7 linked regions of the Oryctolagus cuniculus genome follow. The protein of the gene in region 2 interacts with the protein of the main gene of each other region in a pairwise test. Links are inferred from orthologs where the notes say so. Each region holds a gene or a part of one and is shown on either strand. Other genes may lie near its edges.

The links.
Region 1: the proteins of POM121 (region 2) and HOMER3 interact in binary tests that used the Homo sapiens proteins (3 or more experiments, as listed by UniProt). The two-hybrid records come from large-scale screens. The link is inferred for Oryctolagus cuniculus from reciprocal best matches to the Homo sapiens genes POM121 and HOMER3.
Region 3: the proteins of POM121 (region 2) and AGR2 interact in binary tests that used the Homo sapiens proteins (3 or more experiments, as listed by UniProt). The two-hybrid records come from large-scale screens. The link is inferred for Oryctolagus cuniculus from reciprocal best matches to the Homo sapiens genes POM121 and AGR2.
Region 4: the proteins of POM121 (region 2) and FXR2 interact in binary tests that used the Homo sapiens proteins (3 or more experiments, as listed by UniProt). The two-hybrid records come from large-scale screens. The link is inferred for Oryctolagus cuniculus from reciprocal best matches to the Homo sapiens genes POM121 and FXR2.
Region 5: the proteins of POM121 (region 2) and CEP76 interact in binary tests that used the Homo sapiens proteins (3 or more experiments, as listed by UniProt). The two-hybrid records come from large-scale screens. The link is inferred for Oryctolagus cuniculus from reciprocal best matches to the Homo sapiens genes POM121 and CEP76.
Region 6: the proteins of POM121 (region 2) and NFKBIA interact in binary tests that used the Homo sapiens proteins (3 or more experiments, as listed by UniProt). The two-hybrid records come from large-scale screens. The link is inferred for Oryctolagus cuniculus from reciprocal best matches to the Homo sapiens genes POM121 and NFKBIA.
Region 7: the proteins of POM121 (region 2) and TRIP6 interact in binary tests that used the Homo sapiens proteins (3 or more experiments, as listed by UniProt). The two-hybrid records come from large-scale screens. The link is inferred for Oryctolagus cuniculus from reciprocal best matches to the Homo sapiens genes POM121 and TRIP6.

Annotation. Positions count from the first base shown.
Region 1 is NC_091447.1:65,893,257-65,895,471, reverse strand, and holds part of HOMER3 (homer protein homolog 3), read left to right. Parts: intron 1-1,248; coding exon 1,249-1,359; intron 1,360-1,593; coding exon 1,594-1,715; intron 1,716-2,135; coding exon 2,136-2,215. UniProt on the Homo sapiens protein: Postsynaptic density scaffolding protein. Binds and cross-links cytoplasmic regions of GRM1, GRM5, ITPR1, DNM3, RYR1, RYR2, SHANK1 and SHANK3.
Region 2 is NC_091450.1:50,656,969-50,659,702, reverse strand, and holds the end of POM121 (nuclear envelope pore membrane protein POM 121), read left to right. Parts: intron 1-425; coding exon 426-548; intron 549-666; coding exon 667-764; 3' UTR 765-2,234; downstream 2,235-2,734. Other genes in the region: NSUN5 (28S rRNA (cytosine-C(5))-methyltransferase), read right to left, coding at 2,306-2,417, 2,504-2,644. UniProt on the Homo sapiens protein: Essential component of the nuclear pore complex (NPC). The repeat-containing domain may be involved in anchoring components of the pore complex to the pore membrane. When overexpressed in cells induces the formation of cytoplasmic annulate lamellae (AL).
Region 3 is NC_091447.1:8,432,188-8,436,472, reverse strand, and holds the start of AGR2 (anterior gradient protein 2 homolog), read left to right. Parts: upstream 1-1,485; 5' UTR 1,486-1,645; intron 1,646-4,285. UniProt on the Homo sapiens protein: Required for MUC2 post-transcriptional synthesis and secretion. May play a role in the production of mucus by intestinal cells. Proto-oncogene that may play a role in cell migration, cell differentiation and cell growth. Promotes cell adhesion.
Region 4 is NC_091448.1:52,159,767-52,163,266, forward strand, and holds part of FXR2 (RNA-binding protein FXR2), read right to left. Parts: intron 1,936-3,500; coding exon 1,765-1,935; intron 1,592-1,764; coding exon 1,513-1,591; intron 573-1,512; coding exon 463-572; intron 238-462; coding exon 151-237; intron 1-150. UniProt on the Homo sapiens protein: mRNA-binding protein that acts as a regulator of mRNAs translation and/or stability, and which is required for adult hippocampal neurogenesis. Specifically binds to AU-rich elements (AREs) in the 3'-UTR of target mRNAs.
Region 5 is NC_091441.1:69,537,029-69,540,528, reverse strand, and holds part of CEP76 (centrosomal protein of 76 kDa), read left to right. Parts: intron 1-3,110; coding exon 3,111-3,328; intron 3,329-3,500. UniProt on the Homo sapiens protein: Centrosomal protein involved in regulation of centriole duplication. Required to limit centriole duplication to once per cell cycle by preventing centriole reduplication.
Region 6 is NC_091443.1:40,158,302-40,162,509, forward strand, and holds the start of NFKBIA (NF-kappa-B inhibitor alpha), read left to right. Parts: upstream 1-1,408; 5' UTR 1,409-1,615; coding exon 1,616-1,842; intron 1,843-2,427; coding exon 2,428-2,536; intron 2,537-2,864; coding exon 2,865-3,075; intron 3,076-3,328; coding exon 3,329-3,417; intron 3,418-3,535; coding exon 3,536-3,796; intron 3,797-3,912; exon of another isoform or gene 3,913-4,075; coding exon 4,076-4,123; 3' UTR 4,124-4,208. UniProt on the Homo sapiens protein: Inhibits the activity of dimeric NF-kappa-B/REL complexes by trapping REL (RELA/p65 and NFKB1/p50) dimers in the cytoplasm by masking their nuclear localization signals.
Region 7 is NC_091450.1:43,009,056-43,013,090, forward strand, and holds the start of TRIP6 (thyroid receptor-interacting protein 6), read left to right. Parts: upstream 1-1,235; 5' UTR 1,236-1,552; coding exon 1,553-1,661; intron 1,662-1,889; coding exon 1,890-2,017; intron 2,018-2,123; coding exon 2,124-2,249; intron 2,250-2,401; coding exon 2,402-2,785; intron 2,786-2,965; coding exon 2,966-3,059; intron 3,060-3,146; coding exon 3,147-3,316; intron 3,317-4,016; coding exon 4,017-4,035. Other genes in the region: SLC12A9 (solute carrier family 12 member 9), read left to right, coding at 1-753. UniProt on the Homo sapiens protein: Relays signals from the cell surface to the nucleus to weaken adherens junction and promote actin cytoskeleton reorganization and cell invasiveness. Involved in lysophosphatidic acid-induced cell adhesion and migration.

The sequences.
Region 1 (2,215 bases), on a different chromosome or scaffold from region 2:
CTCTCCCTGCTTCTCTTTGGGGACTGATGCTCATGGTTGCTGTGCGGGACCCTCGGGCTGTCTCCGTGCACCAGCCAAGGGACACGGAGAGAGTCTTCCATCCGCTGGTTCTCTCCCACACGGCTGCGGCAGCCCGACAGAGCCGGGCCAGGCTAAAGCCAGGAGCCAGGAGCTCCATCCGGGTCTCTCGCGCAGGTGCAGGGGCCGCAGCACTTGGGCCATCCTCCTCTGCTCTCCCAGGCGCATGCGCCGGGAGCTGGCTGGGACCCAGCGCTCTGACGTGGGGGGAGGGGCGCAGGGGTCCCACGCGGTGGCCTCCGTCCGTCCTGTCCGTCCTGTCCGCGCCCTGCTCCGGCCGGGAAGATGGGGTCCCCGGCTTCCTCCCAGAGCCTGGCCCGCCACCAGACGCAGGTCTTTGATTTCTGGGAGTCACACAGGGGTCAAAGGTCATCTGCCCCTCCCCCAAGAGCGGTCCACGGTTTGGGGGCTGCTTGTGCTAAAGATCATTACTCCCCAGGGGGCTGTTCATGGTCCCGGGGTTTTTTTGCACAAACACCTGGCTGTGTGCTTGTTACTATTTTCTCTTAAAAATTATTTTTCTACTAAGGATTTTTTACGCAGCCTACCCTTCCTGGAACACAGGTATTGCTTGCATTAGGTTGGAGTTCAGTGTGGATTCTTAGTACCGGAAAACAAGAACCGGACAGCTGCCTTCTTACTGAGTGCAGATGCGGCTCGGAGCACCCCCCCGCCCGCTGCACCCCCAGACCCCCACTCTCTGTTATGAAGGGCGGGGGCCCCTGCCCGCGGCGCCGGCATCCCCCATGGTCGCAGGTTCGAGTCCCGGCCGCTCCACTTCCGATCCAGCTCTCTGCTGTGGCCTGGGAAGGCAGTGGACGATGGCCCAAGGACTTGGGCCCCACGTGGGGGTCCTGGTGCAGCCGTGGCTGTGGTGGGCATTTGGGGAGCGAACCAGTGGATGGAAGACCCCTCTCTCTCTCTCTCCCCCCTTCCCAGCGCTCCCACCGTGGCTGGGGGTATTAATGCCACCTCCGTGAACTCCCCACCCGCCCACTCTGCTCGTGGGGACATCATTCTCCAAGCCTGCCCCCCCTGCTTCCTGTTTGTGGGCTCAGGGGGTGCGCAGCCCCCTCCCACAGCGGCAGAGCCGTGGGGGTGGGGGTGATGTGCTGTGGAGGGGGGCGCTGGGGGTCCCGCTGACGCCTGCCCCTCCCCTCCTCCCTCCAGTTTGCTGAGAAGTTCCAGGAAGTGAAGGAAGCGGCCAGGCTGGCTCGGGAGAAGTCCCAGGACGGCGGGACCGAGCTCACGAGCCCGGCGCTGGGTCTGGTCTCCCACCAGGTCAGCCGGGCACCCGACCGCACTGGGCTCGAACACAACCCAGAGCTGTGGGGGGCGTGGTCACCAGCCCCGGTGCCCAGCTGGGGTCTGCACCTGCAGGGTCGGGTGAAAGGGGAAGCCGGCAGGGTGGGGGGCCCAGGGAGCCACGGAAATCAGTCGAGGAAGGGAGGGGAGGGCCTGCCCGGTGACACCCGCTTGGACACGTCCCTGATGGACGCCGCCGCCCACCCGCAGGTGCCTCCCAGCCCGCTGGTCAGCGCCAATGGCCCCGGCGAGGAGAAGCTGTTCCGCAGCCAGAGCGCCGACGCCCCCGGCCCCACCGAGCGGGAGCGGCTCAAGAAGATGCTGTCCGAGGGGTGAGGGGCGGCGGGGAGGAGGGGGCGGCGCCTGGCAGGCGGGGCCGGCCCCGCCCCTCACCTTGGAGGGGATCGCTGGCCCTGCCCCTCCCACGCCGCCCCCAGACTCAGGGAACCCAGCGACACCGCCTCGCGCCCTACCCTGGCTACGCCCACCAGTGCCCGCCCCCAAACCAGGCCCCGCCCCTCCACAGCGCTGTAGTGCCGCGCGCCCGCCCTTAGCCAGCTCACTACGGCGTGCCCGCCCCAGCAGGCCCCGCCCACAGTACCGCCCCCTAACCAGGCCACGCCCCCAGCTCGCTCCGTACTGCAGCGCGCCCGCCCCCACCCAGGCCACGCCCATTAGCCCGCGCGCGCTCCCGCTCGCCCGCCCTCGGCCCCGCCCCGCCCCGCCCCCTGCCGACCCTGGCGTCTCCGCAGCTCGGTGGGCGAGGTGCAGTGGGAGGCCGAGTTCTTCGCGCTGCAGGACAGCAACAACAAGCTGGCCGGCGCCCTGCGAG
Region 2 (2,734 bases):
AGAGACCACACAGTAAGGCCATCAACACTGGTGACAGATGAGGACAGGGAACCGCGTGGCGGTTACCAGGTGAACCGGCAAGGACACGGAGCTGATGAGGATGGGGGGGGTGGAAACAGCATTGGGGAGCAGGCAGACGCCCCCACACACACCTTGGGCCCTGAGTCGTGAGCACCAGAAAGCCTGGCCTGCCTTGGAGAGGGCAGGTACCGTGAGGACAGCCGTGGGCCACAGCGGTGGGTTTTGTGGGGATGCTAACGAGGATTAGTCCTGGTGGAAGCTGGGACCTGCTGAGTGCTGTGCTGTGCGGTGGCAGCCGAGGGGACAGGGACCGACCCCACTCTGCAGCTGCACAGAACTCTGAGGAAGCCGGGGCGGTGCCCGCTGCCCCCGCGGCTCCACAGTGCTCTGCCATCTGCTTCTAGGCACCTCCACGCCCACCTTTGGTCAGAACGCCTCTGCCCCCGGAGTGGGCGCGTCGGGCAGCAGCCTGTCCTTCGGGGCGTCCTCCACGCCCACCCAGGGCTTCGTCGGCGTGGGAGCTTTCGGTAAGCAGCAGTGGGCTTGGCTTCCAGGCTCTCGCGATGGGCGCCCCACCCCTGCCTGCGCGCTGGAGGTGAGGAACCCGGGCACCGGCCATCCTGATATGTCATTGACTCTTTCCAGGGTCGGCGGCCCCTTCCTTCTCCATTGGTGCGGGATCTAAAACCCCAGGGGCCCGACAGCGACTGCAGGCCCGAAGGCAGCACACTCGCAAGAAGTAGCCTCGGTCTCCTGCCTGTCTCCCACCTCCCCCCCACCCCACCCCCGTCCCACCCGGCACCCAGGCCCGGACTCTGCCTGCCAGGAAGAGCCTCTGACCCTTGGAGTTGATTGAGTAAACTTCTCCCAGACCTCCGGCCTCGGCCGCCAGCAGGGAGGGGCAGCGGCGGGGGCTGGCCCTTGACTTGAACAGTCGCCCTGGTGAGCCCCTGCCTCCCGCCTCCCCCGGGAGCCCCGTGCACACTGGACGGGACTGGGAGCGGGCTGCCTGAAGCTTGACCTTGCCTGGCTGGGCTGGAGGAAGTGGCTCCCCCGCGGGCCCCCGAGGGGACCCTCTCTCCCTGTTTCTCGCTGCTCTGTTCCTCGCAGGATTTTCCCTCTTGAATGACCTTGAATCTAGCTTTGCCTTGGAGCCCCCAGAGGGTGCCGCTCCCGCTGCCCCGTCCCCTCCTGCCAGGTCACTCAGTGTTTTCGTCTCCCCCTAAGAGCTCGGCGGCTGAAGACTGTTAGCCTGGCAGATCGGGGGGGAGACGCCGCGCCCACCTCCGGGCTGTGTCTGCCTCTCGGGGATTGTACGTTCTAAGCCTTGTCCTGTGTCACTAGTCCGATGCGCGTGTCTATCGCTCTTTGAACCGAGTTTGGAGGAAGAATCAAATCGTATGAGTGGCGGCATGTTGGTAGTGCCGGACTTGTTTCCCGACTGTCCTGGGGCCTCGCTAATTGAACGTGGCGGTAACACCGCTTCACGGCCACGCGTGCTGACTCCTGAATTCTCCAGTGGTGTTCTCACTCTAAGGGCTGGCAGCCCACGAGGATGGGCCGGGGGAAGCAGAGCCCTCCATGGAGGCAGGCACCCCCGTCCGCGTCAGGAGACCTGACGTGATGGCCCACGACCCAAGGTGACCTGGCCGCTCTTCCCACACAGGTGCCCCAACACCGCCCCTCCCCCAGGCCCAGGCGCCTTGCTGCCAGCCCAGCCTCTTTGGGAGAAGTGTGAATGCGTGTGTCTAAATTAAAAAAATATTTAAACATTTTTTAACAAAATAAAAATTTATTTTTGTATTTAAGCTAAATTGCCTTTTAAATTCCTTCAAGCTTGGTTCACTGAGGTGGTTAAGTGTAAATGCTGACTAGGAGTAGCGTAGTGAGTTCTGCCTGTGCGTGGCCCGGGCCGCTCCTGGGGCTGTTTTAGGAACAATGTGATGTAGGCGTGACCCCCCCCCCACCCCGCCTGCAGGTGTCGCGCCCGGCCACTTTACCTCAGCTGCACCTGCACAGGCAGGCCAGCGGCCAGGGGCCCCTGCAGGGCCCGAGTGAGTGAGAGGGTGAGTGGATGGCGTGCGCCGGCAGGGGCTTCCCGTTACGGACACACGGATGTAATTCCTGTTGAGTCTAGTTGGAATTTTTAGTATGAATGTGAGATTTTTCTCCTTGCTTATGTCATTAAGAATAAAAAACTGTGATCGATCTCAGGCCCTGTCCTGCCTTTTCTTTCCCGGGGACAGCCACCGGGTCCAGCCGCTGGGGGACAGCACAGCCGCTGCTACGGCCCCGGTGCGGCGCAGGGGTCACCTGCCGCTTTCCGCCGTCTCTTCTTCCTCTTGGGGCCTGGGCTGAGTGGTTCCGGGGGCGACGCTGTGGCCTGGGAGGCTGAGCTAGAAGAAACGGCCCCAAGTTACGTGTGCCCCCCACCCCATCCAGCATCCTCCCGGCAGGCCCCATCCCCTACCCACGCCCTCACCTGGGTACTTGCACCCTTTCGAAGACAGCAACGAAGAAGCCGCCGGTGAGGGTGGTCTCGGGGGAGGCCCGGAGGCAGTGTTCAGCACCTGGGAAAGTGCCGAGGCCTCGGTGGGGCCAGGCAGGGAGCACAGGAGCGAGCCTGCGGAGAGCAGCGGCTCAGGCCCGGGCGGGGGGGGTGGCGCAGGCCGGGGCGGGGCAAGGGCCCGGAGGGAGGGGGCGCAGGCCGGGG
Region 3 (4,285 bases), on a different chromosome or scaffold from region 2:
ATCCTCCAGTGAACAGAAAGCAGGACACAGACCATGATTTTGCAGCTCCAAACAAGATCTACTTTCCACTATCTGCATCTGGTTGACCACAAGACACCTGGGATTTGGTGCCGGCCCTGCCCCACGCTGGGACCTTCAAAAAAGCATTTGGTATGTGCCTCATTCTCTTCATCTGCATGACGAAGGGGTTGAATCGAATATTCTAACACCTGAAGAGACCAAGGATCCACCAAACAGCATTTCCAGTTTTAAGCCTTTAACTCAAATAATTGTTTTCAAACACCTAAAGAAATTCTCTCTATGGATTTAGAACCACAAGTCAGTATTTTGAGAATCATTATTTTGCCCACAGAACTCAAAGCTCTATTGAAATCGTGTACATACTTGAAAATGTTTTGAGATATTATGATGTGAACTATTTTACAAAGGCATGTGATGAGGCTTGCATCTTTTAGTTACTTTTGTGTTCAACACTGGGAAGGGCAGGTGTCTGCTTAAGCAATCACTTGAGACACCCACTTTCCATATCAGAGCTCCTGAGTTCAAGTCCTGGCTCCGGCTCCTGACTCCAGCTTTCTGCTTGGAGGCAGCAGGTCTTGGCACAAGTACTCAGGCCCCTGGCACCCATGAGGGAGACTTTGATTGAGTTCTATCTCCTATCTCCCACCTGGCCCAGACTGGGCTGTTGTGGAAGTGAACCAACAGATGGAAGATATCCCTCTGTGTCTATCTCACTGCTGAGTAAGAAATAAAAAGAACATCTCCATCCTAAACTTTTAAGTTAAGTTCTAGTCTTAAAATCCTCAAGTAACCAAACAATCTCAAGTGAAAAAAAAAAAGTCATAGGCCTCAGTTTCTAGGTCTGAAAAATGGGGTAAATGGCTTCACGTAGACCTAGCAGGAGCACCTGCCACTGAAGAAATGAGAAAGAACACCTTCGAGGGGAGTTGCTATTGTACCCAATGGCAAGGCAAGTACACCAAGCTCATACTGTTAAGTTGCCTCTTGTCAATTACTTCCTTAGCTTTGAAATATTATACAAGCACTTGATTTATATTTTTTTACAGACCTGTGGTTAATGTACCTTTACTTTTTGCCAAGAAATGAGAAGGCCATCATGAAAATAATTTGTAACATAATAGAAGATCACAGGTTCTAGGATTACAAGGGTTGGGATTGTGAATCATTTCAGGGATGTTTTCTGCTAAATAAGGGCAATATGCCCAAGGGGAATGTAAAAAAAAAAAAAATCTACAAACTACACACCCCATCCAATCACGTAAAGACAAATCAGCCTTCAGGCAAATCAAAGGTCTTCCACTAAGCTTACCTGGCTTTGGCACTCTGCCCACCCTTCTCAAGCCTCTTAGCAATATACTTTCACAAACAGTTAAAACATGCATAGTAAAAAAGGACTCTTTTTGCAACGATATTTTTTCAAGCAGGGAGCTCTTTTACTCAGAGAAGACCATGGTTCGGACAAAGGAAGGTCCATTTCCGAGTTAGTCCCGTGCAAACACAGGATTAGTGGGTGGGAGAGAGGTGTGCGCAGATGCATAAATAGAGGCTTGCGCTGCTGGCACAGGCAGAAGCTTGGACTGCGTCCTGAGCGTCTCGCACAAGGCAGGTGGGAGGGGAAATCCAGGTAAGGATTCTGACAACAGCTCGGGAAGGGCACCTGCTAGAGGGAGCTTTGGGCTCCTATTGCTCTGTAAAGTTGCGTGCAGTCAACAGAGAAGTGCAAGTGTCCGAGGGTGGTGAAGTGGGATTTGGAGAGGGGATCGTGCGATTTCCAGAGGCTTCCTGGGGCCTGTCTTTGGTAGAACTGGCAGAGTGTTGCACTCCTGAGTTTCCTCTGTAGGAAACAAAAGTTGAAAGAGTGGGTGAATGCTAGGGATTCTCAAGCCTGGGTTAAGGACCGGAGATTTCTATCTTGGTTACAATCTACAACTCTGCTTCTCTCGCACTGGCTGATGCAAAGGAACCTCAGGTAGGATGCCCCAGTGGCAACACAAGGGGACTGCGAAACACTGGTGCAAAATGGAATTCAGAGATAAATTTCTTTTGGTGCACAACAAGTTGAAATCCACATATAGCTTTTCCGTAATATGCATTTTCATGAACTTTCTTAAGATCTCCTCATATGCATGGATTTAAAAAACTTTCTGCAGCAACATAAACCAATTTTTTAATTCCATTTTTCATAAACATTGAGAAGTACCCTAGCATATTACTGCCATAAGTAACTACTTCCTCTCTGTGTCTGTTTTAAAGATACAGTAGTTGCTTCTTCAATCTTTAAATACACGGAATAGACTGTCAGAGGAGAGAGTCAGGGTTGCTTTCCTAACAGGAACACAGGCATTGAAAACTCCTGCAAATGTCTCTCTTGTGAAAGATAAGGTGAGGCTATAGTGATCAGTAAAACTGCTGGTTTCACTGTGTGTGTGTGTGTCTCCAAATTATCCATCTCTTCCATGGTTAGCCTTGGGTTTTAAAGTGGTTTATCCAGGAAATTGGTAGACCAGAGTCTGTTCACGCTAGGAAAAGAGTGAATCTCAGAAAGTCATCCAGAGCAGGATGTTTGTACAGCAGAAGTTCCATTAGTCTTTCTGAGTCATCCTATCATAAAATGCATGTAATACATCAATAGCTCCAACCTCTAACCTATGGAGCTATTACGAGGGGTCCTAATAGCCACTTGTACAACAAGACTTGACAGTGGACTAATAAAACACCTCATCAGCCATTTAGTGTCAGTTTTTAAAATACACATAGATGTCATCTTAATATACAAAACCCAATGTTTGTGGATAAATTCAAAGTAGTTATTTGTCATGATATACTTAGTTGGTTCAAACATCTAATTAGCCTCACATAAAAGTTCTTGATTATTTTTAACATCAAAAATAAGCCTTCACACTAAGAGAGCAGTACACTTGAGTTGCTTCTGTAGAACTGAATTCTAGAAGACAAAAATTATTACTGACATTTCCGCATCCCTATAGGCTTAGAACATTCAGAAATTCTATCTCTGCTCTTTGCTTATGTCTTTTCTGATTAAGGTGTTTTGTGGCTACATACTGTGGCGTGAAGAATAACTGGGGTTCATAACTTGGAAACGCCTTTCAATTTTGCTAATGCTAAGCAAAGTTTTCCATTCAAGCCAACAGATCATGAGACGCACTCTCTCTTAAAAACACAGAGCAATGACAGCTCATCCTACTTCCTCTGCAGAGTTTGTTGACTTCTCTCTAAACCTACACCAATATTAGCGCTAGATGCGATAATTTTGTATTGACTTTTAAGCAATTTTAGTGTCTGGCTTTCTGAGAAATGCAAAGCTCCAGCTTCCCATGTTATGGCCTCTAGCCAACCTTAGCATCTTGCTCAAGAGACTCACTTTGCTTGCCTCCCTGCCTCTTCACTCACTCGGGGAACTCATCTGACCATTCACCGTCCATTCATAGGCGTCTACCCCAGCTTCTCCCAAGCAGTAGCTGTGGAACACCAGGAAGGAAGGAAGAATGTAACAGAGAGACATCCATGGGGTCTACTTCACTACATTATGAATCTCATAGGATATTTGTGTGCCTTAAAGGGCATGCCACATCACCTGCCAGTAAAGGCCCTCAAGGAAAGTCCAAGAACTGCTTCACTTGAAGGAAGCGGCATTGTAGTCAATTCAAAGCTAAGATGGAGTTTGAACAAATGCTACACTTGGGAGACAATTGTGTTCATGCAAGTGGTAGGGCAAGTGACAAGGCTGGCAGGTTCTAAGTGAAATAAGGCATCATTTTATTCATAGTGCGTTCTTCAGTGGCAATGTCTCCATGTTAACAGGAGGTTAAGGAAGTATGCGTAGTAAGGGTAATTATTTCATGGAGGGAAGACCCAGAAGCCTTTGTTCTAGATCCATCTCCTAAACCTTCTCATCTCTCTGAACTTCAGATTCTTCATCTTATACCATGAGGCACTGGGGAGGTGGAAAAGGAGGAGGTAACCCCACAAGTACCTTCCTGTGCTGTAATTTGTGACATTTACATGGAAATTTCTTTAGCTGTAAGAGTATATATAGCTAATTACCTATTTTCTTATATCTAATATATCTAACTTATCTATTTCTGGGTAACTATATATCCATTCAGAGATCTACATCTTTGTATCTAGAGCTATGTGGATCTATATCTATTGATAGATGGGTGGGTAGGCAGATAGATACATAGGTAGGTAGATAGGTAGTTGGTAGATGAGGAGGTAGATAGGTTGGTTAATAGGTGGATAG
Region 4 (3,500 bases), on a different chromosome or scaffold from region 2:
TGTGACCCGTCCCACAGCCCCACATTTCCACCTCCCATTCCCACTCTACAGAGGAACGAGCCGCACGCCACAGCTGCGGACTTTATCTGGCAGCAGTCTTGGCCCCTGCTCTGCCCAGCCCTTCCCTCCCCAGGTTTCAGACTCGTGTACCTGCAGGTAGGAGAGGTGATACTCCAGCAGGGCCTGGGCATTGCTGATATTTTCTCGAGTGCCAACAAATATGAAGGGAACCATCCCCTGAGAGCAGAGGGAAGGAAAGCTGATCAGGAAGAATAGTAGAACGCCACGTGCTAGCCCCATCCAGTCGCCAGGGGAACCCACCCAATGGCATCAGTCTAGCTCTAAAGTTACTAGAGCGGCTACAGAATTTCTGTGCATCCTCCCTGCCCCCAAAGTCTTAGCCCTCAGAGAACAAGCCCACCTACTTGTGGAAACCAACCTCTAGTCCTAGTTGGCCCATACCTCCTCCCTGGGGTTCTTCTTGTCATTGTCACCTTCCACTCGCACCCTCACCACACCAGACTTATCCACGATCTCCTGGATCACTTTCCCATTCTTTCCGATCACTTTGCCTAAATGGGTAAAGGAGGAATTAGGCCTTTTTTTTTTTTTTAAAGGTAAGGTCAAAACAGCCTCCCAGCCTCATCCTTCTCTCTCTGTACAGATTGCATTTCGTTAATTCTCCTGCTTCTAAGTTGTTGGTTAGGTTTTACAGAAAGGACGGATGTCTGACCCAACAGTAAACTGCTGCTGGGATGCCCATGTTCCCTACTGGGGCTCCTAGTTCGAGTCCCAGCTACTCAGTTTCCAATCCAGGTCCCTGCTAGTGCACACCCTGGGAGGCAGCAGATGATGGCTCATGCATACTTGGGTCCCTGCCTGCCACCCATGAGGGAGACCCCAGATGGAGTTCTGGGCTCCAGGCTTCGGCCTGACCTTGCCCTAGCTGTTACAGACATTTGGAGAGTGAACTAGTGGATGGAAAATGTAATGCCTTTTGGGGCCGGTGCCATGGCTCACTAGGCTAATCCTCCACCTGCGGTACTGGCATCCCATATGATCGCTGGGTTCTAGTCTTGGTTGCCCCTCTTCCAGTCCAGCTCTCTGCTGTGGCCCAGGAAGGCAGTGGAGGATGGCCCAAGTCCTTGGGCCCTGCACCCGCATGGGAGACCAGGAGGAAGCACCTGGCTCCTAGCTTCAGATCGGCGCAGCGCTGGCCATAGCGGCCATTTGGGGAGTGAACCAACAGAAGGAAGACCTTTCTGTCTATATCTCTAATTGTCAAATTAAAACAAAAAGAAAAAATGTAATTACCTTTCTACTAAAATGAAAGTAAAAAATTTTATCCCTAGAAATTTATTCTTCCTTTTTTTTTTTTTTTTATTCCGACTACAGACTTTCTGTCCTTGTGAAATCAAGAGTTACCAATACCCACTACAAGCCCAGAGTCATTTAAGGAGACTCACAACTGGCCCCTAACTACTCTCTTTTATACACACACACCCAACTCACCAACCAGGTTCCTGGGCACTTGCACTGAATCTTCAGAAAACTCCAGGTAGCTCCGAGCCTGTCGGCATGCCTCTGGCGTCTAGGGGAAGAATGAAGTGGCGTCACTAAAACAGGACCTGGATCTCAAATAACGATCTTCCTGTCTTTGGGAAGATATGCTGCCAAGTTCAGCAAAGTCACATAGCTTAGGCTTATTTCCCACTCCCTTCCCTCTACCCACTACAGGATCTTGAAGACAGATCTTTTGCTGACCTCCCCATAGATGCGGAAAGTGCAGGTTTCTTCACCCAACTCAATGGCGGTCACTCCAGGTACTTTTCGGGCCTGCTGGATATTGGCCCCATGAGTCCCAATTGCCAGTCCCATCAGGTCCTCTCGCACTGTAAACTCTTCCTGGAATGCTGCTGCCAGCTGCTTGCTTGTCTGAAAGGAAAACCACTCGAACAATCATGGTGGTGGAATCGCAGAACACCTATGCCAGGTAGTAGACTCTGCGTAACAGAGAAGCATGCTGGGGGCTAGCAGTGTGGCACAGTGAATTAAGCCACCACTTGTGATGCTGGCATCTCCTATCAGAGTGCCAGTTTGAGTCCAGGCTGCTCTGCTTCTGATCCAGCTTCCTGCTAACGCACCAGGGAGACAAGTACCCAAGTACCCCTGCCACCAACGAGGGAGACCTGGATGGAATCCTGGCTTTGGCTGGCCTACCACCAGCCATGACAGCCATCTGGGAAGTGAATCAGCATATGGAAGCACACTCTCCTCCCCCCACCACTTTCTGTCACTCTGCCTTTCAAATAAATAAATCGATCTTTTAAAAAAAAAAAAAAAAAAAAAAACCGGCCGGCGCCGTGGCTCACTAGGCTAATCCTCCGCCTAGCGGCGCCGGCACACCGGGTTCTAGTCCTGGTTGGGGCACCGGATTCTGTCCCGGTTGCCCCTCTTCCAGGCCAGCTCTCTGCTGTGGCCCGGGAGTGCAGTGGAGGATGGCCCAGGTGCTTGGGCCCTGCACCCCATGGGAGACCAGGATAAGTACCTGGCTCCTGCCATCGGATCAGCGCAGCGCGCCGGCCGCGGCGGCCATTGGAGGGTGAACCAACGGCAAAGGGAGGACCTTTCTCTCTGTCTCTCTCACTGTCCACTCTGCCTGTCAAAAAAAATAATAAATAAATAAAAATAAATAAATAAATTAAAAAAAAAAAAAAAACAAAACCACACTGGAGTCAGCTGACCGGTAGGAACTATGCAGAAAATTCAGGAACTTTCAAATAGCAATGGCTTGAGGGGAGAAGAACCACCAAAGTTCTGGATTTGGCTCTAACACCATGTGGTTGTGTGATCCTAGAGAAAACACACACCCTGTGCCTCTGACCTGTCACCTGCTAAGTGGCTACATCTGACCTATACCACTTTCAACACCAGCAAGATCTGACGAAGTTCATGTGATCTGCAAAGTGTAAATAACTAACCTTAACTAAATGAATACCAACTTCTCCCAACAAGTTGATTAGAAAGCAAGAGACTGAGAAAAGAAAAAAATGAGCCTATGGAACACCACATTTCTCAACCAGGGCTCCTAAACTCAAGGGCAGGAAGACAGGAAAATTTCAAATACTCTGCTAATTCTAAGATGAAATACTCCCAAATCAAGAATTTACACTAGACAAGATGGCAAAGCTGAAGAAAAAAGGGAACAAACTGGACGATCAAGCATCACTGAGTTCGGGAAAGATCTACACAGACTTTTGTTTTCTACAGAAGTCTGCACATGTCTATCTTTTATATAGGCAATATTTTGAAATAATTTTTAGAAAATGCAATAGCAAAAAAAGACCGATGAGACCACTACTATGGCGTAGTAGGCTAGGCCTCTACCTATGGTACCGGCATCCCATATGGACCCCAGTTCGTGTCCCAGCTGCTACACTTCTGATCCAACTCTCTGCTGTGGCCTGGGAAAGCAGTGGAAGACAGCCCGAGTTCTTGGG
Region 5 (3,500 bases), on a different chromosome or scaffold from region 2:
CATTTTGAGTTGTACTCTTTTTTTTTTAACTTTTATTTAATGAATATAAATTTCCAAAGTACATCTTATGGATTACAGTGGCTCCCCCTCCCATAACTTCCCTCCCACCTGCAACCCTCTCCTTTCCCTCTTCCTCTCCACTTCCATTCACATCAAGATTCATTTTCAATTCTCTTTATGTACAGAAGATCAGTTTAGCTTTTTTTTTTTTTTTTTTTTTTTGACAGGCAGAGTGGACAGTGAGAGAGAGAGAGAGAGAGAAAGGTTTTCCTTTGCCGTTGGTTTACCCTCCAATGGCCGTCGCGGCCGGCGCGCTGCAGCCAGCGCACCGCGCTGATCCGGTGGCAGGAGCCAGGAGCCAGGTGCTTTTCCTGGTCTCCCATGGGGTGCAGGGCCCAAGCACTTGGGCCATCCTCCACTGCACTCCCGGGCCACAGCAGAGAGCTGGCCTGGAAGAGGGGCAACCGGGACAGAATCCGGCGCCCCAACCGGGACTAGAACCCGGTGTGCCGGCGCCGCTAGGCAGAGGATTAGCCTAGTGAGCCGCGGCGCCGGCCCAGTTTAGCATATATTAAGTAAAGATTTCAACAGTTTGCACCCACATAGAAACACAAAGTGAAAAATACTGTTTGAGTACTAGCTATAGCATTAAATCACAATGTACAGCACATTAAGGACAGAGATCCTACATGAGGAGTAAGTGCAGAGTGACTCTTGATGTTGACTTAACAAATTGACACTCTTGTTTATGGCATCAGTAATCACCCTAGGCTCTTGTCATGAGTTGCCAAGGCTATGGAAGCCTTTTGAGTTCACCGATTCTGTTCATATTTAGACAAGGTCATAGTCAAAGTGGAAGTTCTCTCCTCCCTTCAGAGAAAGGTACCTCCTTCTTTGATGACCTGTTCTTTCCACTGGGATCTCACTCATGGAGATTTTTTTTTTTTTTTTTTTTTTGCCAGAGTGTCTTGGCTTTCCGTGCCTGAAATAGTCTCATGGGCTTTTCAGCCAGATCCACATGCCTTAAGGGCTGATTCTGAGGCCAGAGTGCTGTTTAGGACATCTGCCATTCTATGGGTCTGTTGTGTATCTCGCTTCCCATGTTGGATCGTTCTCTCCCTTTTTTATTCTATCAGCTAGTATTTGCAGACACTAGTCTTGTTTATGTGATCCCTTTGGCTCTTAGTCCTATCATTATGATCAGTTGTGAACAGAAATTGATCACTGGGACTAGTGAGATGGCATTGGTACATGCCACCTTGATGGGATTGAATTGGAATCCCCTGGTATGTTTCCAACTCTACTGTTTGGGGTAAGTCAGCTTGAGCATGTCCCGAATTGCACATCTCTTCCCTCTCTTATTTCCACTCTTATATTTAACAGTGATCACTTTATTATTTATTTGAGAGAGAGTGAGTTACAGAGAGAGAGAGAGAAGTCTTCCATCTGCTGGTTCACTCCCCAAATGGCCACAACGGCCATAGCTGAGCCAATCTGAAACCAAGAACTAGGAGGTTCTTTCAGGTCTCCCACGTGGGTGCAGGGGCCCAAGCACTTGGGCCATCTTCCACTGCTTTCCCAGGCCCTAGCAGAGAGCTGGATCGGAAGAGGAACAGCTGGGGCTCGAACTGGCATCCTTATGGGATGCCAGCACTGCAGGTTGAGGCTTAGCCCACTACGCCCCAGCATTGGCCCTGCCATTGTCTTACAGAGTAAATGCTCAATAAATATTTGAGTTTAATTATATGTGCAGTTAATTTGACTTTTCTCTCCTATAGTTCAGTTTATGGTAGGAGCAAATTAAGCAGATTCAATTTTACTAACTCTTGAAAATTAAAAAAAAAGTGATCTAAAAATTCACTGACACTGTCTTTCATGTGGGTTTTTTTTTTTTTTTTTTTTTTTTTAGATTGATTTGTTTATTGGAAAGACAGTGGCAGAGAGAGAAGAGAGTGAGATAGTGAGAGAGATTTTCCATATGCTGGTTTATACCCCAGCTGCCTTCCACAGCTGGAGGTTAAGTCTCCCCTGTGGGTGGCAGGAACCCAAGTACTTAATCCTTCATTGCTGCCTCCCAGGGTTCATTAGCATGCAGCTGAATCAGAAGTGCACAGTTGCAAAGACTCAGAACCAGACACTCAGATATGGGATGCTGGCGTACCAAGTAGCAGCTTAACCTATGGTGCCACAATGGCTGCCTCCATACTATACAGGAAATGAACCTTTCATGTCACATCACTATATTGAATGTTTTTTGATTATGTTTCTGAGAAGTGAAATCTGGAAATTTATAGTTCCCTTTACTTTTATTTCTGTGCATCCCTATCATAATTAATAGTTTAAAAATTATGAGGGACAAGTGCTGTGGTGTAGCAGGTAAAGCCACCACCTGCAATATTGGTTCTAGTCCTAGCTGCTCCTCTTCCGATCCAGCTCTCTGCTATGGCCTGGGAAAGCAATAGAAGATGGCCCAAGTCCTTGGACCCTTGCACCCGTGTGGGATACCCAAAAGAAGCTCCTGGCTCCTGGCTTCAGATCGGCTCAGCTCCAGCCATTTTGACCATCTGGGGAGTGAACCAGCAGATGGAAGACCTCTCTCTCTCTCTACCTCTGCCTCTTTATCTCTCTGTAACTCTGCCTTTCAAATAAGTAAATAAATCTTTAAAATAATTATAACAACTTGGGGTGGGCGCTGTGGCTAAACCTCTGCCTGCGATGCCAGCATCCCATAAGGACGCCAATTTGAGTCTTGGCTACTCTTCCAATCCAGCTCTCTGCTATATATAGCCTGGGAAAGCAATAGAAGATGGCCCAAGTGCTTGGGGCCCTGCACCCATGTGGGAAACCTGGAAGAAGCTCCTGACTTTGGATTGGCAAAGCTCTGGCCATTGCTGCCATTTAGGAAGTGAACCAGTGGATGGAAGACCTCCCTCTCTGTCTCTCCCTCTCTCTGTAACTCTGCCTCTCAAGTAAATAAATAAATATTTTTAAAAATTATGACAACTTCCAAAAATCGTTTCTTGGCATATGCTAAAATATAATTTACATTTTGATTTGTTTTTGAAAATATTAATATATTTCCCATTTTCTTTTTCTCTTGATTGCTGTAGGATCTTGGCCTTACCACTGTTTGGGAAGACCAGCTTTCCTATCTTTTATCACCAGCTTTGGCTTCTTATGAATTTGAGCGTACAACAAGTATATCTGCAGGCAATGAAGAATTTCAAGATGCCATAAGGAGGGCTGTACCTGATGGTCACACATTTAAAGGGTTCCCAATACATTTTGTGTACAGGAATGCTAGGCGTGCATTTGCCACATGTCTTCGGTAAGATATTATTTATGGATTGATAAATGTTCTCGCTATAGGCATCCTAGATGTTTACTTAGGAATGACATCAGAATCACATGGGGGAGCTGTTAAAATGACTTAGCTTTCTTGTGCAGATTTGATCCATGAGTTCTGGAAAGTATCTACTTAGTTTGGGCCAATTTTCCTA
Region 6 (4,208 bases), on a different chromosome or scaffold from region 2:
TAAAACAAGTACACTACAAAAAATATTTACTGACTTGTGCAGCCAGTGCGCAGTGACTTTGACCCTGGAACCGAGGCCTCCTGCCTGCATCACTGTGCGACCTTGCCTTGATAAACCCGTGTGTGCGGTTCCTAAGCCTGCAGACACTGCAGTCTCTACTGGGAAGTTCTCACTCTAACATGTGACCATTACTACTGAGGGGTTTATTTCTTGATTTTACTTTTTTGCCCTCATATTTTGTCCTAGTGACCCTATCCCCTATGTTCCATATGGGGGGAACAGGTGGAGATCCGAGGAGAGGCAAGGGTTGCTTTGTACCTGATCAGTAAGGCGAAGGTGATTGCCACAACCTCCAGAAACCTCTGCAGAGGCCCCTGGAGCTCATGCTCAAAGCCGATCAAAGCCGATTTGATTACCTGCACCAATTCCAGAAGTAGTTGAATTCAGCCCAGTCTGCCGCTTCGGGGGCCGGAGCATAACCTCTCTAAAGCCAGGGGATTCTCTCAAGAGTGGCACTGCAGGAATGGCTCCAGCTACTGCCCTCTCCCAGAGCACACGGGGGAGCCGCCTGGAACCTCCCGCGGGGGGCCTGGCAGTTACTCTTGGCCATCTTTCAGGCCCAATCCTGGGTAAGACACTAACTGCCACCCATTGGTCAGGCTCCTCCCAATGCTGAAAAATTGCTCAGCTGGGCACTCAGAAATAGGCTCAGGATCCATTTCCTGCAGCACAGACCATGAACTTCGTTACTGCAAGGTTACCTGCAACCCCTCCCACCAAGACGAACTCCTTGCTTAACAAAAAGCAAACCCTTGAGGCCCCACTGAGCGCTGACCCCTCGCAGGGCGAGATCTGTCCCTCCCCCAGCCGACAGGCCTGTTAGTCCCCAGGACGGGACTTGGTTTAAAACCCAGCTTCTCCCCGAGGGGGTCGGGACGCCAGGAGCGCTTGCACCCTACAGGGCCGGGAATCTGCGGGAACCCAGGGGCCGCCCGCGAACTGCACCCAACTCTGGGGAAGACAAACCCCCACGGCCAGCCACCGTTTCCACTCTTGCGCTTCCGCAAGATCCGAGAAAACGGAAAGGACCGGCTGGGCGGCAAACCCCAAAGAGGAACGGCCCGGCAGGTCTGTGTCCTCGGGATCCCTGCAGCAGACGACCCCGAGTGCAATCGGCCGTGGGAAACCCCAGGGAGAGAGGAGGGCCCTGCAGGGTCGGCCTGGCCGCGCGCGGTCCGCAGGGAAGCACCGGGGCGGCGGCGGCCGCCGGGCCCGGAGGACTTTCCAGCCACTCAGCGCGCAGCGAGAAGTTCCCTGGACATGACCCCGGTGGGTCATCCCAGGGAGTTTCTCCGATGAACCCCGGCTCGGAGTTTAGGCTGCCTTTTTTTTTCCCCTAGCAGAGGACCAAGCCAGTTCTCTTTTCTGGTCTGACTGGCTTGGAAATTCCCCGCGCCTGACCCCGCCCCCAGAGAAATTCCCCGCCAGCGTTTATAGGGCGGCGCGGCGGCGCTGCCGAGCCCACAACAGTCGCAGCGCGCCGCCCGCCAGGAGCCGGCGACAGGACGAGGACGCCAGCGCGCAGCCCGCGGCCGAGCACCTGGGGAGCAGCGCCATGTTTCAGCCGGCCGAGCACGCTCAGGACTGGGCCATGGAGGGGCCCCGGGACGCGCTGAAGAAGGAGCGCCTGCTGGACGACCGCCACGACAGCGGCCTGGACTCCATGAAGGACGAGGAGTACGAGCAGATGGTGAAGGAGCTGCGCGAGATCCGCCTGGAGCCGCAGGAGGCGCCGCGCGCCGCCGAGCCCTGGAGGCAGCAGCTCACGGAGGACGGAGACTCGTAAGTGTCGGGGGGCTGAGGGCCGCGGGCCGGGCGGGGGGCGGCCGGGCCTGCAGCGCGGGCCCCGGGGCTGCAGCACAGCCGGGCTGGAGGGGGGGGATGGCCGTGCAGCGCCGCCGAGTCTGCCGCAAAGCTGCGGGGCGGCCGCGCGCGGGCCGGGGCTCCTCTGGGGGCTCCTCGGGCCGGCGGGGAAGGGCGTGGACGGCCCCGTCCCCGCACACCCCGAACCCCGCAGCCCGGCGCTCGCGGCGGGGGGCGGCGCGGCGGCAGGGACGCCGAGTCCCGGGTTGCATAAGGCGGGCGGGCGGGCGGGCGCCGCGCGGCCGGCGGGGGAAGTACAGGGCGTTCCGGGCCGCCGGGAGGGCGGGGCGGCCTGGCCGGCGCCGCCGCGGGGGGGGCGGGGCCCGGAAAGTCCCTGGGCGCCTGCCAGGAACACTCAGCTCATAATAACCCCGCGGAAAACACCGCGGCCCCGGCTCCAGAAACCCCGGCCTTGCGCAATCCCCCGCAGGCCGCGCCTCCCCGGGGCCCCACGCAGTGCGCTCACCGCCCCTTGCGGGGGGTTTTCCCCTCTCTGGCCTGCAGGTTCCTCCACTTGGCCATCATCCATGAAGAGAAGGCATTGACCATGGAAGTGATTCGCCAGGTGAAGGGAGACCTGGCCTTCCTCAACTTCCAGAACAACCTGCAGCAGGTGCGCCTGTCGTCCCCAGCCCTGTGCCCTCTGTGACCTCGGGATGCAGTCGATGTGGCACAGTCCTCCCCACCCCTAGCTCTCTGAAAGAACAGCCACAGGTCCTTACCTGCCCTGGCCTTTCACATTCCAATAAGCCGGTCTCCTGCAGAGTTAAAAGCCCACGGATTGGGTGAGGTCTTTGCGACCCACCCGGGGCCCTGGTCTTTGGCCCCCTGTCCCTGTCTGGGAGGAGCAGCACCCACCCCCGGGAGATGTCTGCGGCTCAGGGGCACTCGGAGGACGACTTTGCGCCGAGGCTTATCTGTGCTCGCTCTCCCACTCGTAGACGCCGCTCCACTTGGCTGTCATCACTAGCCAGCCAGAAATTGCTGAGGCACTGCTGGAAGCTGGCTGTGATCCTGAGCTGCGGGACTTTCGAGGAAACACTCCGCTGCACCTTGCCTGCGAGCAGGGCTGCCTGGCCAGCGTGGGCGTCCTCAAGCAGACCTGCACGGCCCAGCACCTGCACTCCATTCTGCAGGCCATCAACTACAACGGTACGCTGTGCTGTCCCAGGCGGGCGGCGCGGGGGAGGCGGGCTGGCCTAAGGCGTGCAGGGCAGAGCTTAAACTCCCAGCTTGTGAAAGCAGGAGGAAATGAGTATCAAGCGCCTGTCTCAGGCTGCTGGAATGTTCATTCAGAACCCAGATTCGGGCTCCTTAGAATTCAGGGGCCACATGTGCTTGTCCCATGAGTGACTAGGGGGACGGTGAAACAGGTGGTGATGCTCTCTTCCTTCTGTCCGTCTAGGCCACACGTGTCTGCACCTGGCTTCCATCCACGGCTACCTGGGCATTGTGGAGCTGTTGGTGTCCTGGGGTGCTGATGTCAACGCCCAGGTGAGTGCCTCACGAGCCAGGTGGAGTGCTGCTCTTTGCCAGCAACATGTCAGCCACACTGGCTGCACGCAGGAATGCCAGACGCCTCCTAAGCATCTCACACTCCTCTTGGCTCTAGGAACCCTGCAATGGGCGCACGGCCCTCCACCTCGCCGTGGACCTGCAGAATCCGGACCTGGTGTCGCTCTTGTTGAAGTGCGGGGCCGATGTCAACCGGGTCACCTACCAGGGCTACTCCCCGTACCAACTCACATGGGGCCGCCCCAGCACCCGGATCCAGCAGCAGCTGGGCCAGCTGACCTTGGAGAACCTCCAGAGGTTGCCCGAGAGTGAGGACGAGGAGAGCTGTGACACGGAGTCGGACGGCACGGAGGACGAGGTGAGCCCCATCCCCTACCCTGCCAGGCCCCTTCCCTTGAGCAGCCCTGGGATATTGGATAGAGCTCTCCGACTGTATAGAACCCCCCCCCCCCAATAAAAATAAAAGTAGCTTACCCTTCTTTAAGCAGCAAATCCTTCAAGGGAAATGCACTCAGCCTGTCAAGTTCATTGCACGGCGGGTGGGGGGATCGGAGCTGCAGTCGCAGCCAGGGCCCTGGCCTGCGGCCTGCAGCCCCGGGCTGGGCCTTGGAGGTTTACTCTCCTCTTCTTCTTCCAGCTGCCCTATGATGACTGCGTGTTCGGAGGCCAGCGCCTGACCTTGTGAGCACCAGGCGCCTGGAAAGCACGTGGACTTGTATATTTGTACAAAAAGAGAGTTTTATTTTTCTAAAAAAAAAAAAAGGAAAAAG
Region 7 (4,035 bases), about 7.6 Mb from region 2:
TTCCCTCCGCCACGGGCTCCCGGGAGCCCCCGTGCGCTCAGCCCCCAGGACTACGTGGCCACCATGGCGGACGCCCTCAAAATGAACAAGAACGTGGTTCTGGCCCGGGCCTGCGGGGCGCTGCCCCCGGAGCGGCTGAGCGGCGGCTCCCGGGGCCCCTCGGCGCCCCACCACGTGGACGTGTGGCCCCTCAACCTGCTGCGGCCCCGGGGTGGGCCCGGCTACGTGGACGTCTGTGGCCTCTTCCTGCTGCAGATGGCAACCATCCTGGGCATGGTGCCCGCCTGGCACAGCGCGCGGCTCCGCATCTTCCTGTGCTTGGGGCCGGGCGAGGCGCCCGGGGCGGCCGAGGGGCGGCTCCGGGCCCTGCTGAGCCAACTGCGGATCCGGGCCGAGGTGCGCGAGGTGGTGTGGGGCGAGGGCGCCGGGCCCCGGGAGCAAGAGGAAGAGGAAGAAGGGGACTTCGTCAACGGCGGGCGGGGAGAGGCGGAGGCCGAGGCCCTGGCGAGCAGCGCCAACGCCCTGGTGCGGGCCCAGCAGGGGCGCGGCACAGGCGGGGGCCCCGGGGGCCCTGAGGCCAGGGATGGCCAGGAGGGGCCCACCACGGCCCTCACCTTCCTGTACCTGCCAAGGCCGCCTGCCGACCCCACCCGCTACCCCCGCTACCTGGCGCTGCTGGAGACCCTGAGCCGCGACTTGGGCCCCACGTTGCTCGTCCACGGCCTCACCCCTGTCACCTGCACTGACCTCTGAGGCCAGGCCCCAGCTCATCCGGATTCCTGGACGATGAAGAGGGAGGGGCCACCTCCCTCCGGCCCTGCCCTTGGGACCTGGAGCCCCCCCCGCCCCGACCCCCAGGTGCAGATGCTAGGTGTCCTGGGCTCGGGCTGACCCGCCTCCTATGGGAGGGGACCCAGGGCACGGGTACCCCCGCCCGCCCGCCTGCCCGCCTCTCCTCCACTGGTGCCTTGACGGGAGGGGCTGGTCTCCTCTGCGACCCTAGGCTACCTCAGCCTGGGGTGGGGACGTTCCCTGTGTTTTATTTTTCTAACTGCTGACCGTGAATAAAAGACCAAAACACTACGGGCTGGCCTGACACTGCTGGCGGGTAGGTGAGAGGGAGGTGGTGGGAAGAGGTCGGGTGGTAGCAGGGGTGGAGACCGGGAGCTTCCAGGGCCGCAGCGAGGCTGCCACGTGCAGGCTCGGGCGGGCCGGCCCGGGCCTGCGCCTCCCACCCCGAGCCGCCCGCAGACCCCCGTGACTCGGCTCCCAGCGAGAGCCCTCCCCTCTCGGCAGGAGGGGGCCGACTGGGGGAGGGACCGCAGATTAGGGCCTAGGGGGCCACGTGACCCTCCCCCAGGAATGCGGTGACGTCACAGGGGGCGTGGCCGTCCCCAAAATTAGGGAGGAAGGGGAAAAAAAAAAGCCAGAAAAAGTTTCTTTCCTGGAGTCCCAAACGAGGTGTAGGACGGAAGAGGGGGCCGAAGTCAGAGGCCCTGGGCTCCGAGAGGCCCTGCCTGCTGTCTGGGGTCTCCTCACCCCGTTCCAGACCATGTCGGGGCCCACCTGGCTCCCCCCAAAGCAGTCGGAGCCCACCAGAGCCCCTCAGGGGAGAGCACTCCCTCGAGGTGCCCCTGGGCTGCCACCCACCCACGGAACAGGTAAGCAGCCCCTTCTGCGCCCGCGAGCCACCGGCTGCCCAGACTCACCTCTGCCCGCTCCCAGCCTGCTCCCTGCTACCCCTTCCCCTGCCAGCCGGGGGCCAGCCGCCTGTGGCCGCCTACGGCCCCCTGAGGAGGAGCGGAGGGGCCGGGAGGGCAGCGTCCAGGAGGGAGCCCCCTTCTCTCCTCCCTGGTCCCCACCTCTGGTCTCTCTTCCCCCCACCCCAGCACTCCAGCCCCACCCCAGGGTCAATTTTTGCCCCCTCCCATCTGAGCAGTGTTACCAGCCCCCCGGGGGACGCGATGACCGGGGGCCAGCCTGGGTGGGGTCCCACGGAGCACCCCAGCGCTCCCAGGTGAGGACGGCAGTGGGAGGAGGTGCGATGTTGTGAGCAGGGTGGGGGGCTGGCTGGAGGGGCGCCGTGGTGACTTGCCTCCTCCCTGCTTTGGCTCCTTCCCCAGGGGCTCCCCCCAGACAGGGGGGGCCTGCGCCCCGGCAGTCTGGATGCTGAGATGGACTCGCTGACCAGCATGCTGGCCGAGCTGGATGGGGGCCGTGGACACGCTCCCCGCAGGCCGGAGCGGCAGGTGACTGCCCCCACGCCTGGCCTGCTGCCCTCTGTGGGTCTTCAGTGCCAGTCCCCCCCTCCCCAGGGCCCCCAGCTCCCCTCTGTGTTCATCAGCCACTGGCGGGGAGACCTGGGTGGGCTTTGCTCACTGCTCCCCGTGTTTCTCCCTAGGCTTACGAGGCCCCTCAGCCCCCTGCTTACCGCGCAGGCTGCCTGAAGCCCAACGGAGGGGGTGCCCCAGCCCCTCCGCCACCAGCATCCCCCTATGGGGGCCCCACACCGGCCTCCTACGCTACCGCCAGCACCCCAGCCGGCCCGGCCTTCCCGGTGCAAGTGAAGGTGGCACAACCAGTGAGAGGCTGCGGCCCGCCCCGGCGGGGAGCCTCGCAGGCCTCTGGACCCCTTCCCGGCCCCCACTTTCCTCTTCCAGGCCGAGGGGACATCTGGGGGGGTGGCTATCGGAGCCACCGTGGGCCTGGGCCGGGGGGGAAAGAGGAGACTGTCGGGGTGTCTGGCTCTGCAGGAGGACCCAGAGGAGGCGGGCACGGGCCGCAGGTGAGCCAGGGGTCCTGGAGTTCAGGACCTTCCTAGATGATGGGTGGGTGGGAGCAGAGCCGCAGGCCTGGGGCGTGGAGCAGCTGGGGAATTGCAGAGGGGAGGGGTCCGAGAAGCTCTCAGGGGAGGAGCCTCCTGGGTTGGACCCCCTGGGTGGGAACCCCTGATTCCCGCCCCCAGGTCCCCCTGAGCCAGCCTCCGGAGGAGGAGCTGGAGAGACTGACCAAGAAGCTAGTGCAGGACCTGAACCACCCGCCCAGCGGGGAGTACTTTGGTGAGCGGGTGCCGCGGGCAGGGGACGGGAGGGTGGCGCGTCTGGCCAGGGTCTGTGCGGGGTGACCCCGTCCTTTCCTGTCCCCAGGCCGATGTGGCGGCTGTGGAGAAGACGTGGTCGGGGATGGCGCCGGGGTCGTGGCCCTGGACCGTGTCTTCCACGTGGGCTGCTTTGTGTGTTCCACGTGCCGGGCGCAGCTCCGGGGCCAGCATTTCTATGCCGTGGAGAGGAGGGCGTACTGTGAGAGCTGCTACGTGGTGAGCCCCTGGGGCTGGGGACACTGGGGTCTGGGCACTGGCAGCGGCAGGCAGGGGCCTTCCTGCAAGGTGGGGGCCGGATGTCTGAGCCCAGCAAAGGAACAGGGCTCGAAGCTGGGGCACTCAGACTGATGGACAAGAAGAGAGGCATTGTGGGAAGGAAGGAGCACCGTCCTGTAGGAGTAGGAGACATTTTATCTATCATCACCATTATTATTATTAATTGATTTGTAAGGCGGAGAGAGAGCCCAGCTTCATCTGCTGGTTCACTCTCCAGTTGCCTGTGACAGTTGGGGCTGGGCTGCACCAAAGCCAGGAGCCTGGAACTCAATCCAGGTCTCTCCCGTGGGTGGAAGGGACCCAAGTCCTTGAGCCATCATCTGCTGCCTCCCAGCATGGCCACGGGCAGGATGCTGGCGGGCAGTGGAGCCAGGACTCCACCCCAGTCACTCTGATCCGGGTTGTGGGCGTCCCAGGTGGCCTCCTAAGGGAACAGGGTTAAATTCCAACCCCAGCCAGGCAGGAGTTTTACTACCGGTGCCCGGTTTACAGGACACTGACGCTCAGAAAAGCCGAAGCCAGACTCGGATCTACGCAGGTCCACCTCTCACTCACACGCAGGGCGCTGTAGAAACAGCCAGGCGGGCTGTGGGGGCGCCCGTTGGGTTGTTTAGCTCCCGGCTCCCCGTCCTTCCAACAGGCCACCCTGGAGAAATGTT